Struthio camelus: one gene and its partner. The protein of the gene in region 2 purifies or fractionates together with the protein of the main gene of each other region. This does not show direct contact. Links are inferred from orthologs where the notes say so. Each region holds a gene or a part of one and is shown on either strand. Other genes may lie near its edges. The genes, in order: NELFA and NELFB.

Region 1 (8,979 bases), on a different chromosome or scaffold from region 2:
TCTGAACTAATGCTAGAGATCTCCATTGCCAGCCACTAATGACGTTAATGACAATTACTATCTGCTTATTCTGTAAAGCTGAAAAGCTTGTCAGCACCTGAAATTTACTGTGGGTGAATTTGTATGATTTCATGATAAAATGATTTGCTTCCATAAATGAAACTTTCTTAGTGAATCCTCTAGCTCTATATGAGTACTTCTTTGGAAAAAGAATCACTCAAACAAAGACCATTAGCCCAAACTTGGCTTGAACTGAATCACCACCCTGAAGCCCCTAAGTGCTTCCACTGAAAAAAACCCCCACAGTTTGCTGGCCACCTGGACCCTCCTCTCTATCACACTGACTAGTTGCTCCTACAGCCTGATTCATTGGTGTTCTGGCTTCTGATGCACTCCCACAGACACGTACAAAGAGCAGACCTATGCCTGCACAGCCAAGCTTTAAGCTTCAGTGTGGTACAGTACTCAGGTTCTGGTTTCATTGTCCCAGAAAAAGGAGAACATGCCGTCCCACTGGAATTCTGCCCAACATGCTGCACAAATACGTAAGCAGGTATCAACAAATGAAGGAAACGATTAGAACATAAGCAAATACTGCAATAAGTGATCTCTATTTTAATAAGTGTAAGAAACACATCAGCAGGAACTCTGGAAAGTTCACGGCATCTGCAGCTACCACTAAAAGCAGGAAACTGTGTCTGTGAGAGTTACGAGCTTGTAAATTCACCTACCTGTGTTATGCACCTCTCCCAACGTTGATGCTGACCGGGATCCAGAGCAAGCAGAGGAGGACTGTGAAATCCAGGTTCTCCACTGACTCCTAGGTCTGGAAAGGGTTTCAGCCCTGCATCTCTAAATCTCCTAAATCACACCCAGAAGACCCAGCTGTATCACACGTAGACTCAAACAGTGCAACAGGATATGTATGATACAATACAGCTTTATGGTAAGACTTAAATAACGTAATTCTTGTCAGGCTGTAAGAGTGTGTCCTTCCTTTTTCTGCCTCCTGGGCTTTTGAGCCTTTCTCCTACTGCTCAATATGGGACCAATGCGAAAGCATTTACAAGCTTTCAGTCCTCTTTACTCTTTCTCCCTGTGCTGATGCTGTGGCCCATATGGTTCAACGTCTTGATCAGAGGCCTGGACAATGACACAGAACATTTCCTTAGCAAGTTTTAAGGACACCAAGTTAGGGAGAGCGGCTGACACGATGAACAGCAGAACTTTATTCAGAGATACCTCAATAGATTTCAGGATTAGGCCAACAGAAACCTCACAAAGTTCAATAAGGCAGAACAACCTCAAATCAAAGCAGTCCGTACAAATAAAGTCCTGGCAACTCTAGGAACGGACACACTAACACCACGCTGATGAGCTACTGATAGTGACAACTGAGGATGTGGAAAAATTAGGTTTCCAAACAGAGAAGGCTGCGTTTCCTCAAGGATGGGAGCTGCACATAAATATGCCACTGTTGCAGCTCTGCAGAGGCTTCAAGGAAATTATCACTGCTGATAATCTTCAATTATCAGGCCTCATTAGCCACTACCACGTCAGGGCCTACGAGTGGCAGTGTATGAAGTGAAACTGTTCTAGAACAAGATTTAAAGCAAACGACCACTTGATTTCCACCTCTCAAGGGCTGTCTTCATGGGCCTTTATCATCCTAGGTTTTAAGTCCTACACCATTTTGAAGTTTATTTAAAAAAAAAAAGAAAAAACATAGAATTGTGTAGCTGAAGTCCTAAGTAAGAGGGTGGGACGGTAATGTAAACATAATCCTAGACATAGGTAACCAGATGATAAACCCTTGCAGTAGCTTGCATCATGTCACATAAATTCACAAGAGAGGAACTAGCCGGTAAACTTTTCATAGCTACGAAAGTACTTTTATTTTTATTTCTGATAGAATAGAGCCATATCCGTTTCAAAAGACTTTGCCTAGCAGGAAAGGTAACTGGTTGTGTCACAGCAGATGCAAGAGGTTACCACAAGTAAGCTGAGCACTTGACTTGAGGAAGTCAAATAATCTGTTTTTGATGGAGTAAATTCTGAGAGTCACCTTTCAGATCCCACTGCTACAGCAAAGAGTTTTAAGACACGTCAAATAAACTCAATTTTGAATGACTGGTTAGCTTAAAAGTGCAGGAAAGAAAGACAGAGGTTTTGATTTTGTTTGTGTGTAGGGAAAAGGCCACCAAAAAGCAATACACACCCTTGTATTTAACAAGTAAAATCTGCTGAGATCACTCAGACAAAAGGAAAATGCAGAAACTTATAAAAAGCAGAGTTTAATGAACTGAATGAAAATAAAAATGGTAATAAATACCATTTTATGGAACCAAGTGCAGCTTAATGATAATTTAATTTATATGTAAAGAAAGTAATACAGTGTTTCCTTAAGACGGTGTGCACCTGAAACACACTGACAGAATACCTCTGTCGCTGGCTGCCATAAAGGATAGTAGCCTGACTGTCAGTCACTCTGTTAGCTCCAGTGACAGACTGAAAGGTCTTAACTATGCAGAAAACTTAGGCGTCAACCTGATACCACATGATAAAATTTGTCTTCTTATTATGCTTCTAAAACTTAAAAAAATGCACTTTAAACAAAGTATGGAAGCATTGAATGTATTAAACGTTTGCAGTGTTCAGATCGCCAGAGTTGCACAAAGGGGAAATAACGTAGCACGCTAAAGTAGCATTACATGTAAAGTAGCATTACAAACCTAATTAGAGTTTTTAAAAGCTCAGTTATTCAGTCTTAATGGAATCCTTTTAATAGTGCGTGGGGGTTTGGGTGTACTATATAGTACTATGCTATACAGCCAACTGCTTTGTCTACCTTCTCGGGTCAGTCCCTGTCATCACAGTATGAATCATAATCTGAAGCACTGCTGGCTCAGAAACTGTCACAGTTGCAACCGCAGGATGCCAATGGGAACTTAGTGCCACTGCTAATGCTAATGATATGTTTATTGCACACGCTTCAGTGCTTTCTAAAACACAGTAAAAGCTGCTGCTTCCCAACTGAGAACTCAATGCCAGCACCGCTCTGAACCCTCTGCCCGTCAGCGTTCCACTCCTCGATTTGGGTGCCCAGCTGAGATGTGCTGTTGCTTCCCCTAAAATAGGAAACTTCTAGGCATTATCCCTGTAACTTCCTTCTGAATATACACAGCTATTCTGAGTCTGATAGCTAACACAGCAGGCTGCCCTCACTGATGCAGCACTAGTTCATCCCAGCATATATATTTTTGGACAGGCAGTGAGAAAAACAGCAGGTCCGGAAATCCCTGGAGCACGGATTTTGGTATGAGGTAAAGAGTTACCTTTCTTGAAACAAATATAAAGTGGATTGGAAGACGTGACTCTTTGGCTGTATCTGCTTTTATGTGAACACCGTCACAATTGGGGAAGTGAATCTAGATTGTCTCCCTGCGATCTGTCTCATAGCATGCTCTTAATATTTCTCAACAATTTAATATCCAGTATTACAAACTTTGAATCAGGGACTTGCAACTCAGAGGAGAAAATATCTGCGGACAGTTATCTGCGTAACCCAACGTTATGTGGGATATCAAGCACTTTCAGAGAACTCAAGTATACTCCATTAACCTACAGGTTCGTGCATCCATGAGGAATGAGCACTTTGGTATTTGCCATATTACTCTGAAAATCACTACCCACACTAGACAAAATCTAACTGAAAAATAAATAAAGCTTTATTATATTCAAACAGAAAGTTAATCTACTAGTTACCAGACAGGACAAAACCATGATCTTATAACTAGCTGGCGTTTTGTCTTAATCTCCCTAAGCTCTGCATGCCCACTCAAGTCAGCAGCTGACAAGCACAGATTTGCAGGTGGTAGGACTGGAGCCACGTTTGCTATATAAAACCTTATATTCCAGATACACCTCAGAGAATAGACTCTCTTTTGGGGGTCACCCTTCAGCTAAGAAAATAAAAATAATTACACCAGAACAGACTAAATGGCCACGCTGCCCACTGCTTTCACCCTTGACAGTGGGCAAAAATAGACGCCCCAAGGGAGCATGTAACAAAGAAAGTATGTAAAAAGTACTCCCTTACCTTCCATCAGTGTGCAGCTTTGGCATCACCTGAGCAAGACGGTACCTAATCCCATACAAAGTCTACCAGAACAAAGTTACCTTTTCAGGAAATGGTCCGTCTATATGAGCTGGTAGAGAGAGGATGTACAATTCTACTTGTGGCACTGTGGTGCTGTAGAGTATTTATCAGCTCTGATGCCTAAAAAACACTTATACCAGCTCTCGGAAACAGTTTAATTCTGTGTGTTAGCTACCGCCTGAACACAATTAGCTGCAAAAACTACAGGGTATTCTGTGATTTGCTTTCTCCAGCCCACCTCCAATAGGAGTTGGTTAGTTTTCTCTTCACGTTTGAAGTTTTCATTGCTTAGCTAATTTTTTTCTAGTTGCAGTATCCCATGGAATATACATTTTCAGAGGTAGAAAACAGAATCAAAGGTGAGACACTGAGATTATGCCTCACCAGCCGATTTGGGGGATTCTGTCACAATTGTGCCACTTAACACTTTTTACTTTCACAACACTTTAGCAGAGTCCATAACCTTCTGAAAACTAGACCTAATTCTGTCAGAGGCTCTATAACGTACAGGAATATACACTCTGCACTTTGGGTAATCTACAATCGGAAACTCTCTCTCCTACCAAGAAGCAAATAGTTCCAATGAACTCTGTGGGATGTCGCACTGCAGTTAGGCACATGCTTAGCTTAAGTCTTAGCAAGGTTGGTGCCTACTTTAAACAACTGGGTATGATTGGCGAAAGCAAAGTTCTGGAGTTGGCAACAAGAATGTAGTAATTACTCCTCAAAACAGTGTTGAAGAGTCAATGTAAAGCTCCTCAGCACCAACTGCTCAGCTCGACAGGTTGTAAACAACCTCCTGATGTAGGAAGAAAGTTGTGAAGAAAACGTTTTCCTTCAAAAGCTTAAAACAGAGAAAGAGAACAAGTGAATGCGCTAGGCACTCCTACCACAGCTCTTGTGCTTTCATTTCAATGAGCAAAGACACTAAAATGAACTCTTTATGCTGTACCTGAAGAACTTGAAATCTTCTGAGATTTAGGTAACTGATTAATTTTTCATATTTAAATAACAATGAGCTGAATCACGAGGGAATGAGCATATGCACAATAACCCCTAAATTTCAGAGTACCTACTGCTAGCATTACAGGCGCAGCGGCAACTTCCTAAATCTCAGCAGCACCCAGCCCAGAAGTCCCTGGGGGAAAACGATGAGAAGGGCAGTTAGCTCTATTTTGGTCAAATCATAGCGTTACACAGAGATTTCATCATCCACCACCGTGCTGGCAAGCTCTGCGGGGTGGTTTCAGGCGGGAGGAAAGCCAGGGGCACACGGAGGAGCAGGAGAGGAGGCACCCCGCACGCAGAGGTGGGTGCACCTCAAGGCGCCATTAGCTGCAGTAAGCAACCCACTCTGCTGGCAGGAAAAGTGAAAAAGGGGGAGCGGGGTGGACACGCTTTTTCAACACAGGCCCTGAGGGCGCTGAGGGGGCCCCAGCGGCTGCCGCCGGGGAGCCAGGCTGCGAGCCCGGGGGGGGGGGGGGGGGGAACCGGGCCTGAGGGAAGGAGACGTGGTGCCACCGGCAGCTGTGCCAACCCCGCGGAGCGGCCCAGCCCTCCCCTCCGAGGAGGAGGCAGGGCGGCCGAGCGGGGCCCTCGGCCCTTCTCCCGGCGCCGCCAACGGCCGCGCGGGGCCAAGCAGGCGGCTCGGCGGGCGGGCGCCCTCCGAGGAGAGGGGCGGGGCCTGGCCTCCGCCTCGCAGCTGTTCCGCCCGGCTCCGCGGCTGGCCGGGCGCCCCAGTCCCGCTCCGCGGCCGAGGGGAGTCTTGGAGGAGTTAGGGCAGGGCGTCGGGAGCAGCAAGCTGGAGCTGACAGAGAAGCTGCCCCATGGTGAGGTTACGCCATCTTGCGATACGGCGGCGGGGGGGGGGGGGATGGCGGGCGCCATTTTGCATCTGAGCGAGACACGAGAAGAGCCTTGGTGGTTTTCTCTGTGTGGGCGCCGCCATTTTAGGTTACGGAAGAATCTCCGCCTTCCCTAGAGCGAGGTTCCCTTGCAGGGCGCCGCCATTTTGGGTTACGAACGAGACGGCGACCCGCAGGGGTCCTCACTCCCCCTCCCCCTTCCTCCCTTTAGGTGTCTTCATAAAATGCCCGTGGAGAATCCCCTCTTTTTTCGCCCCGCTCCCAAGATGGCGTCGATGCGGGAGAGCGACACTGGCCTGTGGCTGCACAACAAGCTGGGCTCCACAGACGAGCTGTGGGCGCCGCCGAGCATTGCCTCGCTGCTCACGGCTTCGGTGATCGACAACATCCGCCTCTGTTTCCACGGCCTCTCCTCGGCCGTCAAGCTCAAGCTGCTCCTGGGGATGCTGCACCTGCCCCGCCGGGCAGTGGATGAGGTGAGGGCTGTGGGTAGGACGTTGCGCGGGAAGCTTAACCGAAACGGAGTGTGGGGGGGGGGGGCGAGGAGTCGGAGATGGCGTGAGGGGAGAAGGAGGGGGGCACCACCTCCCTCCCCCTCCTTTAAATGGAGTCGGTGGCGCCGGGGCGCGCTGCCGCCCGCCTCCCCCCCCCCCCCCCCCCAACGGCGCGCGACGAGCCGTTAGCGCGGCCGCGCCGCCCCTGAGGGGGAGCCCGGCAGCGGCCGCTTCCCCAGGGCGGGTGGGAAGTAATTACCGCCTTCCCCACGGGTATCCCCGCTCCTTCCTGGCAGTTTTGTTTATTTTTTTGTTCCCCCCCCTCTGTAGTGCGGTGCGTTGAGGCCCTGCTTGGAGGCTGGGCCCTCAAAAAGGTGCTCAGGTTTCTCCCCCCCCCGGTTAACGGGAGTGGAGTGGCGGCGTCGCTGCTGCTCCTCTTCCTGCTCGTGAGGGAATCTGTGGTTGGCGCTAGACTTCTCGAAAGCAGGGCTCGGGTTTCAACCTGAAACCTTTCTTAACGTGTCCAAGCAGACTTGTAGCTTTAGGACTATATTTTGCTAGAGTTTGGGGACTTCTGGTGCCTCTTTGGGGAGGGGGGAGGGCTTCTCTGAGCCAATGCTTGCTCTAGGTTTAGGCCCCAGAGGGAAGATTGGCCTCCAACAATAACGTGGAGAAGATCTCATTTGCTTTCTTTAATACTGGCAGCTGTGTGGATATCCACAGGCGAGTATCTCGGATTTAGGAAGGACAGCAGCAAGTGCTGAAACTTTGGGAATGGAAGATCTGGGGTTTGCACTGAGCAGTGTTTTCCCCACCTTCTTGTAGTCAGGACTTATTGGAGAAAATTGCTGTGGATTTTTGCCTCCCCTTACCTTTCTAGGAAGTACTTGTTCTTTCCTTTACTGCCGTGACCCCAGCTAATAATCTGGCTGGCCGGATTTGGATCTGACTTTGCATGGAGTCAGCATAAATCCAGCAGAGTTTATTCGCTTGGCTCTGGACCGTGTGTCATCTGCCGTTGCCTTGTTCTTACCAGTAGGCAGATACAGATATTTGGGGTAATAATTGGAGAAGGATTGGGAAACATTGAGTTTCTTCAGCCAGGTTGGAGGAACTCCTGTTCTTTTATCCAGCATGTGTGGTGCTGGTTTCTGATAACAGTTTTGGAGATAGTGAGTGGTTTGGGCTTCAGCTTTTTGTGTACAGTATCCTCAGTTGTGCTTGTAGCAGTCCCTTTCATGGGTAGGTTGTGCCTCTGTTGCTTACGCTTAATAGAAGTATATACTAGACATAGTGTAGGGAGACTGTGCATAGTTCAGATTATTGTATGCTTTACTTCTGTGCACTTCTAAGCTTAAAATGCAAAAGCATTGCTTCCAAGCAGTAGGTTAGTGTATGCCAGGATCTGTCTTGCCAGATATATCTCTATGGTTGTTACTCTGTTACGCGTAACTGCAGTTGCTTTTAAAAAGACACTTTTTGCTCAGCATATGCTTCCTCTGTTTTTAAAACATGTTTATGCCTTGTGCCTGTCCAGTGCACAAGCATTCTTATTTGGGCGAGACAAATGCAGTTTTGCTTTTTAGTTTTCTACAAACAAAATAACCAAGGCTGGAAAGGGGGGTAGGGAACGACCCCTCAGTTCCCACAAACTCTAAGTATGTAAAATTCTTCTCAAGTGCTGTGAAAATCCACATAGCTTGGAAGAAGAGTCTTGCAGTATTTGGTGAAAGTTAACAAACTAGTGGTGTTTTTAGGCCTAAGAGAAGGGAATTTTAAAAAAGCTTAGGGTCCTTCATAAGTAGTACTCAATGCCAGCTCTATGGTGAGGGAGCAGCAGTTCAAGTCAACTAAAACACTTGGTTGAAATGCTGCAGGAGCGCTCACTGGACTTGCACTAAACCTAATTTTTGTTGTTATTTGTTTAAGACTAATTCAAATCAAGGAAGATGGCAGCAGGCCACTTACTTAATCTGTGCTTTTGTTAGCTGTGGAGATGAAGTGTCATGTGAAGAAGAGCAAGCTGGTTTCTGTGCCCTTTAATGTGTTGTTAAAGTGATCAGTTGTGTTCCAAATGTAAACACTTTTACTGCTATTGCTAGAACAAAAAAAGAGTGTTGTGGGATTTTTCAGTTCTCTGGTAGAGTTGAAGTCAGTCATAAATCCAGTCTTTTAGCTGTAAACAGAGCATGCTTGTTCTAGAGCTAGGGTTTTGCTCTCTTTCCCAGTCCTTTGCAAAGTACCTTAAATTTATTTAAATTATTTCAAGGACTTTTTTTTTTTTGAACTTTCCTCTCAGTGAAGACGTTCTTGTTAAATTAAGAAAATGATGAGGTAGAAACCTTTAACCTTGCTAACAAGTCTGATTTATTTCGTTATAGACTGATTTCATTATAGATTTCCTTCTATACGTGGTAAAAACTGCCAGTGTAACAAAACTGCTAGCTAAAGGGAACGTTGT
Region 2 (9,765 bases):
GCCCAAATCAATAAACTGAGAAGAGGACTAGCACAAGACTGTGAGGATGGGTTAGTCTCCCTCAAAATGCTGTAGCTTTTCAAACCGAAAACAAAACATCCCATTTGATTTCAGCTGTTCAGTTGGTCAAGGAACGTACAGGCTGAATATCGTCCACTGATCAGCAGAGACCCTCACTGCAAGCTGAGTACAGGAGGTAGCCTGCTTCAGGAACTGCCCCAGAGCAGTAAGGGACCAGTGGTTCAAGTGGCCCTGAACTGCTTCGGTCCTTAAAAAAAAAAATCTATTATGCTTACTCCTTTTCCATCCCTTTTACTTTTGATTTTTATTGAAGAGCCAACCTGCTCTACGCAGCAGGTTCAGATCTGCCCAGTGATGCAGGGGTAAATCTCTATCTGCTTATGCCTCTTGATGCAAAACTGCTGAGGTGAGGTCAATTGCACGCTGTGGTTTACTTGAACAGAAATAGGTTAACCTATGATTTTAGAGATACTCCCCACCCACCATGCGCCGCTTAGAAACAGAACTGCATTTAAAAAGTCCTTATTGTTCCATGCTCTGCCAACCCAAAATAACATCAAGATCTGTGTTCTTCCCTGATGTTGATTTGTGGCATAAATGTGGTCTCCTCCTCCTTTTTGCTCCCAACGGCGGTCTCTCATTTTGTGAGGGAGAAAAAAATTCTGAATTTGCCCACCAAGATCATTCATTTCTTGCTCTTCTGCAGCAGCTGACATGCCCCTGCAAGAAATATGAGCTGTCACTTTTGTGGGAGGATGCCAGCAGGCTCAGGCGGGGAGCTACGTCCTCCTTCCACATTTCTGCTCAGGCTCCAGTCACACCACCTCCTGGCCTGGGAGCTGGAGTGCGTGCCTGGTGGAGCTGAGAGCGCTCACAGAGAGGAAGGAGGAAGCCAGTTTCATTTGGAGGCTGCAGCCAGGCTGTCTAGTGCTAAACCCTTCTGACTACGTTAACATCAACCTCTGAGGATGTTTCTCCTCCACTCAGTCACAGTTACAAATTTTGCTGTGCAAGATACAGCTTAGGTCATGCAGAACCACATACCTCCCAGATCTCCCAAGTTTCCTTTCTCTCTTTGTGGGAGAGTCCCAGTTTGGAGTCACGTAAAGGGAGTAGAAAGGGGAAAAGATCTCCTGAGAGGAGGGCCATTTTGAGAGCAAGGACTTCCGTTAACAGGCACCAAGTTATGCTGTGGGGTACTCTTGTGGCCTCTCATTTCCAAACCTGCACACTGGGCTGCAAAAAGCAAGAAAGTCCTCAGCCTCAGTGCTAGGCACGAGGGAGGGGTCACTCTCAGCAGATAAGGTGTTGAGAAATCTCATGCTGGCTGTTGCCAGTTTTGCTGAGACGTTATCTTGGTCTGTGTGGGATTGCTGTGTTGGACAGCATACATGCTGGTCTGCCCGAGTACACTGTGGCTCCAACAGATCTGGTATGCATCGAGGCAGAGCTAATCTGTGTCACACCATCTCTGCAGCAGGGCTCCAAACAGACATGCAAGTCTCTTGAGTTCCTCAGAAGCAAGAGCAAGCCACAGCCCTCTGCTTTCTCCCCAAATGCCTTGTCTCTTTAGCAAACCAATCCAGCAGCAGCTTGAGTCCCAGAGTTAGCAGAGAGCCTGTACAGTGCTGTCTTCCACCTACGTAGGACCTGTTTCTTCTGCGCTCCAGATGGCTCAGCTCTCAATGGAAACCCTTTGCACAGTTTCAGGAACAGCTACAGAGCATGTCCAGCAGCTGCCACTGTAGATATATATTTGTGGGCATTTCTCCACTCCTGCTGCTCCTCACATATATTCGGCAATGCAGATGGTTCACTGCAAATCCACATTATCTTCTGGCTTCACCCTTTCTTTGAATTAAAAAAGCTAACTCAAATACTGCAGTGTGGGCACATGGGTTACCCAGAACACTTGTGTAACGCTGAGTAACCCTGCAATAACAAACTGTGCATTCAGTGGTGTTTAGCTATAATGCTTTTGGGGTTTTCCAGTATGGCATTATTCTGGATGCTGGCCCATCCCACACCATCCTGTTCATCTACCAGTGGACTGCCAACAAAGCAAACAACACCGGGGTGATCAGGGAATGTAGCTCCTGTACTGTGCAAGGTAAGATGCCCGATTCATGTTTGGAAGGTCTATGGGATTGGCATGGGATGACTGGAAACCAAGAGAGCTGTGTATGGCCCATCTGTGCAGTTTTTGAGTCCTGTATCATCTAGCTGCAGACTGAGATGGTAGTGACAGTGAAGCGCAGGCTGTACATTTTCAGCACAGGCCTTCTCAACACGGGTAGGGCTAGATCAGAGGATTCTGCAGTAGCAGATGAAAGTTCTACTAGCCTGCTATGGGCAGGGAAGCACACAGAGGGGATGGCGCTGCGCTGATCTCCACATGGACCAGTGGCAGAACCAAGGTTGCTGAGCCTCTCACCCAAGGGACATGGTGAACAGCAATGGAGACAAGTCTGGCCACAGAGGGGGACTTCCTAGTAACCTTTTCCTCCTCCTGACTGTTATCTGGGCAGTAAGTGCTGCAGCTCCGCAACAGAGATGTGAAGCCTCCAATCCCCTCTGTGAGGTTTGGCTGCACAAGTGTGAGTTCAGGTTGACATGCCACAGCTGGTCCCCACAGTACTGTGGCAGGCTGTGGTTTTAGGTGTCAGGTTTTAGAGAATCTTGGGGTCTTCCTCGCTGGTTTGAGTCAGTTCACTCCTGCCAGAGCCAGCTAAACAGGGTTCATGCATTAATGCTTGGGGTTTTTCTTCCCTGTCTCACGATCTTGCTTTGATAGCGAAGCATGATTATAGCAGGATGCTGGGAAACCCTGAACTCTCAGTGTCACAGGGTGCTGGGAGAGGGCAGCCACACAGCAAGCAGAGAAGGGGGCTTGCGCTCTCCCAGACTGTAAACAATACCAGCCACATACAGATGATGTAATAACAGTTCCCTGAAACCTTGTATGTATCCTTCAACTGCTACCACTTAGTATCTTCACTTACTGTGTTAAAAATGACAATTTTACTTCAGTGTTTGAATACTTACGTGAACCTGCAGCAGAGTCATCAGCAGTGACAAAACGTCCAGGCAAGTCTTTTTCCCAGATGCAAGAAGCAGTCCTTGGTCTGTGTGGCAGTGCGGGCCAGCAGAGACCTGTGGTAATTGAAATGAAGCTGGAGGGGAAAGCATCGTAGGGCCTTAGACAGCAGACAAGGACTTAGGAACGGTGGTTCAAATTCCACTTTTGCTACAGTCTTTGAGTGGTCGTAGGCAATCTGCAGCTCTGTTCAGGGCCCAGGAGAGCAAGGTACGCGGTGAGGTAGTCATGCAGCCAGGAACACGAGTGGCCTGGAGGATAAGGAAGCAAGGCCTTCTATGGTTTGTAGTTCAAAAACATTTAAAACTCCCATTGACTCCTGCTGGAAGGATGAGTCAGGGCTTGCACACAGCTGCTCTCCATGCAGCACTAGCTTCCTTCAGAGCAGAGGTGGCCTGCTTGCAGGCATGCGGTTCAGCAGTCATGTCTACCAACACATGAGGAAGCAGCTGGAAGAGGAAGCTGATGCACAAGTCTCATTTCCGTGTCAGTGTGTCCTTTTGCTTATCTTTTACAGTGGTGAAAACCACACTTCTATGGGGTGAGACAGCCTCAGCTGTAAGAGCTGTCGCATAGCTGATACGTGGTCATCTATAGGATAACTTAGCAGCACAGCTAGAGTTCTCTTAGTGTGTGATTTAGGATTTACATTTATTTGCTGTTCTGTTCCCAATGCAGCGTTTTACCGGAATGGCTACTAGTCCACTGAAATAACTGCTTTGTTCTGGCTATGACAAAGATGGGACGTCTTTGCTGTCCTTCAGGGCATGCTTAATCTCTTTGGCAACTGCTCTCACCTTTCTCCCACATCTTCACACAGGATATTTCATTCTTTCCTCTGATCCATAGGTCCCGGAGTCTCCAGCTACTCCGTTTCTCCTCAGGAAGTAGGGAAGAATTTGGAGCCATGCTTACACTGGGCCCAGAGAGAGATCCCAGCAGAGCAGCACAGCCAAACCCCCCTCTACTTGGGAGCAACTGCCAGCATGAGGCAGCTGAAGTGAGTGAATGTTGCAAACCCACATGCAGAGATCAGCACACATCATGTGGATCACTGTAAATGAATCTCACCCTGTCTGCTCTGCAGCATGTTTCATCCCCAATCCATTGGTCAGGTAAACCTTTCTCAGCTCCCTGTGCATTCAAGGGGAGTACAGCACAGCTGTGTGTCCATACCATCCCCCTGCAAACAGCCATGAGGATGATAGGCTTGCTATTGCTACCAATCTGTGTAAAGTCCCTTTCCCAACTAGGGCTGGGGACAACATCTGTCTGTTTGGAAGCTGAAGTGTTTTCAGTTTATGTGGCAAGCTGCATGGGTTTGCAGTGGTGGTTCTTGTCAGCAGGCTGGGAGCTGCGGTGGGAAGCTCTACTTTATCCTACATACTTATTTGGACCCTGTTCTCAATTACCTTGTTACCAGGACCTCTCCACCTCCTTTTAGACACTGGGGAAAAATAAGGTCTGGAGGTGCCAGGTCAGTGGAGCACAGCCACAGGATCCTGCAGTGGCAGAGAGATCTGAACTCAAGGCTCCCCAATGGCAGCCCAGCTGCTCAATCACCTTTCCATATTTTTGTTGCCCAGGCTGTGCTTGCCCCCAGTGCAGTATGAGGGGAGGGGGAAGAGGCAGTGGGAGCAGGCTTTTCATTGTGTCTCCCTGAACTCTTACCCAAAGTGGGGAACACGGCACAAGTCCTGCTGCTGCACCCACTGCAGGCTGCTCCTGGTGGAGCCCTGTAACAAATGTGCTTCTTTTCTGTCTAGCCTTACCAATCCCACCCTCTCTGACGCTCTTCTTGCGGCCCTGACTGTAGCCCTCAAGTCATCCCCCTTCGACTTTTGGGGGGCACAAATCCTGTCCAGCCTGGATGAGGAAGCATTCAACTGGGTTGCTGTTAATTACGTCCTGGAGAACTTTGTCAAGGTAAAGGGAGATCCCGCCCTGGGGAGTACAGACCTGAGCTGAGGGACTCCCGTTATCAAACAGCAAGGGACTCCCGTTATCAAACGGCAACAGAGATATGTGGAGGGATTGTTATAGCTCTGCACTTCGAACAAAACGTAAGCAGAGCTTCCACTGACTTTCAAAGAAGGCAGGTTATATCATCTCCATCATGGTGGACCTGAGATAACATGGTTAAAACTGGGTTGAAGTACCAAACCTCTAATATAGGTTATGTTCATGGATATGCTCATGCTGTTGTTGTAACTGATCTGAGGTTTTCTGGACAACACATCTGGGACGTTCAAACACAGATAACCTTACATAGCCTGGCCCTAGTGCATAAAGCAAGAACATTGTTGCCCCAAGCCATTCAGTTCTAGCTCAGAACCACTGTGAAACAGACATTGCTGCTATGTCTGCAGGGATGGCATGGGAATGTCACCAAAGTCCAGCTGGCCCAAAGGACATCCTGTGAACGGTGGACACAAGAGTCTTTGGCTGCCAAAGCAAAAGCCCTCAAACTTTCCTCTCATTGAGACAGTGATGAGACAGCGTCCCCAGCTTAGGGTCCTGGTCTGTATTCAGGAGCTCACTAAAGAAAAAGACATGTAATTTTCTTTGCTCCATCCATAGTTTCTCAAGGCAAAAGGTCTCAAGAAGGTCTCAAAGTGCCAGATAAAGGAGGGTTAGACAACAGCAGCTCCACAGCAGCGGATTAAAAGGCAGTTCTGATAACAAGCAGCAAATGTGCATCAGTCAGGCAATTGCTAGCACCGCTGGCAACAGCACAGCCCACCCAGGCCGTGGGCAGAGTATTTACATCTGCAGTCAGTAAAAGCTTTCCTGCATAAGCTTTCCTGCCTCTACTGTTAACTTCAGCATTGCCAAAATCAGTTCTGCAGGACTGTGGGACATGAAACCACAGGGTTCTTCTGACAGGAGGATCACTTTGGCATTAGGCAGCACCTGAAGCCCATATCTACCCACCTGGCAGCCTTCCTCCCGGCTCCCCCTATCCTCTCCTCTTTCCCCTGTTCCTACCTACAGAGACCGCTGCCTTGAACAGCCCACTGAGGTGGTGAAATCTACTGTTTGCTCTCACTGGCTGTGGTGAGCTCTCTGTGCAAATGGCAGTGCTTATACAGTGGCTCTCCCCTCTGCTCCCTCTGAAGCCATCAGTTCAGCATCTTCGTGCCCTGTGGGGAAATAAGAGTTGGGCTGTACTGCACCAGAAAGCTGCTCTCTCTCTCTCTCTCTCTCTCTCTCTCTGTGCAGTAATGCTTGTATCTGACTGACCATGACTCAGATGCAAAAGTCTTAAGAACCGACCTCTCTGTTTCTCTTTGGGTCAGTATGACTGGCGAGGACAGGTGATCCCCTCCATGAAGGGGACAGCAGGAGTCCTGTCCTTAGGAGGAACCTCAGCACAGCTCATTTCCAAGATGGAAGAAAAGAACCAGGCACCAAAAGGAGGAGTGAGGCTGCAGCTGTACGGGCAAACACACAAGGTGTATGCTTACCAGTGCCCCTGCCACAGCACAGACCAGCTCCGCAGCAGGCTGCTCTCCATGCTCATACGAGTGAGTATCTGCTGCTGGCATTTGCAAGTTTCCTAGATACAATGTCCATCCCCTGTACCAAATGACAGTAGCATAAGGCAAGAGCTAGTGTAGCTGGTAATAGGTGAAACATCAGTGACCATCTTTAATTGAGGGTGTTTGTATGCATCTAAAAGCCCAATGCCTCAGACAGTCTCCATGCCTGAATCGATGTCCTCTAAGTATATACAAAGGCAACCATTCCAGTTTCTTATTTGCAGGCTCTATTTGGCTTCCTATTTAAGGCACACGAGCACAAAATTGCTCTCCAGAGGTGCTAAGACCACCTTCATAGTAGAGAGGGGCAAACACTTCCCTTGGCTTCTCTGAACTGCTCCTCCATTCTACAAGGGGAGCCTAAAAAGCAACACCTGGGAACCAGCTGGGACCTTTTTTCCCAACTTTAACTTTGACATAGTCTAAAATAGTAATATTCAATTTTGAAAACACACAGGTGTTTCAATTCTTCCGAATTTTATTTCATTGGGTGGAGGGGGAGGGGGTGGTAGAGGGTTGACTGGATCTGATACAAAGTCATGAATGGTTTTGGTCCCCACGAAAATTGAATTGTTCAAAAATGAACTCATAAATGAATTCATCCTCAGTTGGCTCCCCCTAAACACGCTCCAGCCACACCTTTCTCTAGGGAACAGCCCCTTATCTGAGACTCATATGGAGACCCACCTCATGATTATATTACAGGGAATCCCTAAGGACGAGAAATGCTAACTCTTGAGGGGTTCCCTGTGACCTGCATGGCTCTATGGGCAAAGAGCTGCTCGGGAAGAGGGGATTAGTAATCTGCACACCACCTGGGTCACCCTAGCTACCAGGGAGCATGAGGGCTGGAGCATCATAAAACACTGAATTCCCCAGGAATTCCTACATGCTCAACTTCTCATCCTCCAACAGCAGGCTCAGTCATTGCAGGCTGCCTTGAACTCAGCGGGAGCTGGGACCATGCTGTACCAGAGGTCTAGGCTTTGCAGCTGAATAGTTTAGATAAGGTTTTTGCAAGCCTTTTGCAACCTGCCTGCTCAATTATGACATTGTCACATCAGGAGAAAAAGCAAACAAAATAACTTCTGTTTTTCATTGTGTTATATTTCATTTTCTTTTATAAAGCCTTGAGCAGTTCTCTTGGGTCTCCTCTCTTGCTACCTGTCCCCATTTTTTTCTGCCCCTCTAGGATCAGAGAAATGTGAAAACTATATATAACCCCTGCTGGCCCCTCACTTACTCCCAGGAAGTGCAATGGCGTTCAGTGCATGCTGGGCCCTGTGCTATCAGTGATGACACATTGGGAACCCCCAGCCCTGAGGAGGTGTTCAATGTCACCGGCTCCAGCAATTCTACTGCTTGCAGGAGACTCGTGCAAAGTCTGCTCAACTCTTCTGCTTCCTGCAGCTTCTTCAAGCATTCCCTCAGCAGTGTTTTCAAGCGTCCCTGGACCAAGTTTCTGGTGGGTTCTCATTTATACTGGGGTAAGCAATTGGCATGAAGAGCCCATGAAACTGGACCAATTTGATCATTAATAAACATAGTGGGACCAGCCGTTCTGTACTCTCTGCTAGCCAGGAGTGCCAGTACTCTGGCTAGTGCTGAATACAGTGCTGATGCTGTAGACATGCAATCCTGCCCTCTCCCCTTCCTCAGCACACAGCTGTTCGAATGGGCACCCAGGCTTTCCACCAATAACTGTGGTACAACACTGATCCCACGCGTCAGCAGCGTCTCTTTGCGAGAGGAGGTTTGGGGCACTGCAGAGCCATAATGGAGCTCATGTGAGCCAGCAGGGTCAGAGCAGGCAGGAGTTCTGCCCTGAGCATCTCTTCCCATGTCAAGTCTGTGGTGAAGCTAAAGACCCTCTGTCCCTTTCTGAGTAAACATCTGAGGATGCTCTACCACAAGTGTCCTTATGTCCTTGAAATGCTGGATCTAGTGTTCAAAGTCATTGGGATGTTAAGCCAGGACCTGCTCAAGATGCTAGGGCACACTGAGCACATTTCAGAGAAGGGCTGTGGAGGAAGGGATTACAGAAATCACCAGTTTCCTGTTGCCAGTAGCCTCCCATGGATATGGTACCAAGGAGCATAAGGACTAGCCTACTGCACATCCAGAGCAAGGAAGGTTGCTATATTGAAGCTAGAATCTCAAGCTAGTCCAGTTTCCATCTTCAGACAGTAACAGCTCCTGTTTGTTTTCCCAGTGCCCATCAGAAGCACTGTAACCACCAAACAGATAAGTAGAAAGGACATCCTGGAAATGTGCCCAATGGCTATTGCCACCTACTTTCCCTTACACACTATATGGAAGCATGCCTGGCGCGATCCAACCTGATGATTATTTCTGCTGCTGTTATAGGTGATTTCTGAGGCCCTGGACTTCCTGAGAGAGACTGTACCCTCTCCTGACTTGGGTCAGGCAGTCAACAAGCTTTGTGGGATGTCTGTCAAAGAGGTAAATGTGGAATAACTTAGTGTGCACAGATAGAGTAGAGCAACAAACAGCCCAGCTGTAAAAGCTCATGTGTCTCAGGCCGTAAGTTGCTGACCCCCTCGGGGAAAAACTTGGATTTGCCTGTCTTTTTACTTTAAGAAAACAGGCTTTCCCTTCCTCTCAAATCCCAGCTGTTGCTGTTAGTAACACCTGGACTTGATTAAATGGAAAGGCACCAGTACCTTTCACTGCATATTAGGGATAGAAAGGCAGTCTGCCTAGTCTTGCTTATACATCACCTTGTTCTCCTTGTTATCCTCCTCTCCCTATGTACAAGGAACACATCTGCTCAGAGTCCAGGGATCTTCCCATTTCACCTGGACCCATGGAGACTAAGCTATGGGGGAAATAGAAGTTCTTTGGCTAGCTTGGCAACTCATGAAGTCACCCTCATTAGAGCTTACACTGACTGAGCATCCCTTTCACAATAACATCCAAATTGGCCATTCTCTAGAGGGTTTGATAATGGGGTAACAAGCTTTCTTTTCTGGATGGAAGAGAAAGATCTTAGTGATCCTGATGAGATAAAGGTTGCAGCATTAGTTCAGCCTAATTAGAGAGCAGAGACTCATACCAAGGAGTTCACCCGCAGGGCAACTGTAG

The links.
Region 1: the proteins of NELFB (region 2) and NELFA purify together in Homo sapiens (affinity purification with mass spectrometry; 8 studies listed by BioGRID and IntAct, counting the BioPlex papers as one, with this or other methods). This does not show direct contact. The link is inferred for Struthio camelus from reciprocal best matches to the Homo sapiens genes NELFB and NELFA.

The regions. Positions count from the first base shown.
Region 1 is NC_090945.1:77,948,140-77,957,118, forward strand, and holds the start of NELFA (negative elongation factor A), read left to right. Parts: upstream 1-5,353; 5' UTR 5,354-5,499; intron 5,500-5,785; exon of another isoform or gene 5,786-5,988; intron 5,989-6,235; 5' UTR 6,236-6,248; coding exon 6,249-6,500; intron 6,501-8,979. UniProt on the Homo sapiens protein: Essential component of the NELF complex, a complex that negatively regulates the elongation of transcription by RNA polymerase II.
Region 2 is NC_090961.1:11,647,499-11,657,263, forward strand, and holds the start of NELFB (negative elongation factor B), read right to left. Parts: upstream 3,569-9,765; 5' UTR 3,211-3,568; coding exon 3,067-3,210; intron 2,132-3,066; coding exon of another isoform or gene 2,014-2,131; intron 1-2,013. Other genes in the region: ectonucleoside triphosphate diphosphohydrolase 2, read left to right, coding at 2,014-2,131, 3,968-4,118, 4,885-5,044, 6,418-6,645, 7,853-8,125, 9,028-9,123. UniProt on the Homo sapiens protein: Essential component of the NELF complex, a complex that negatively regulates the elongation of transcription by RNA polymerase II.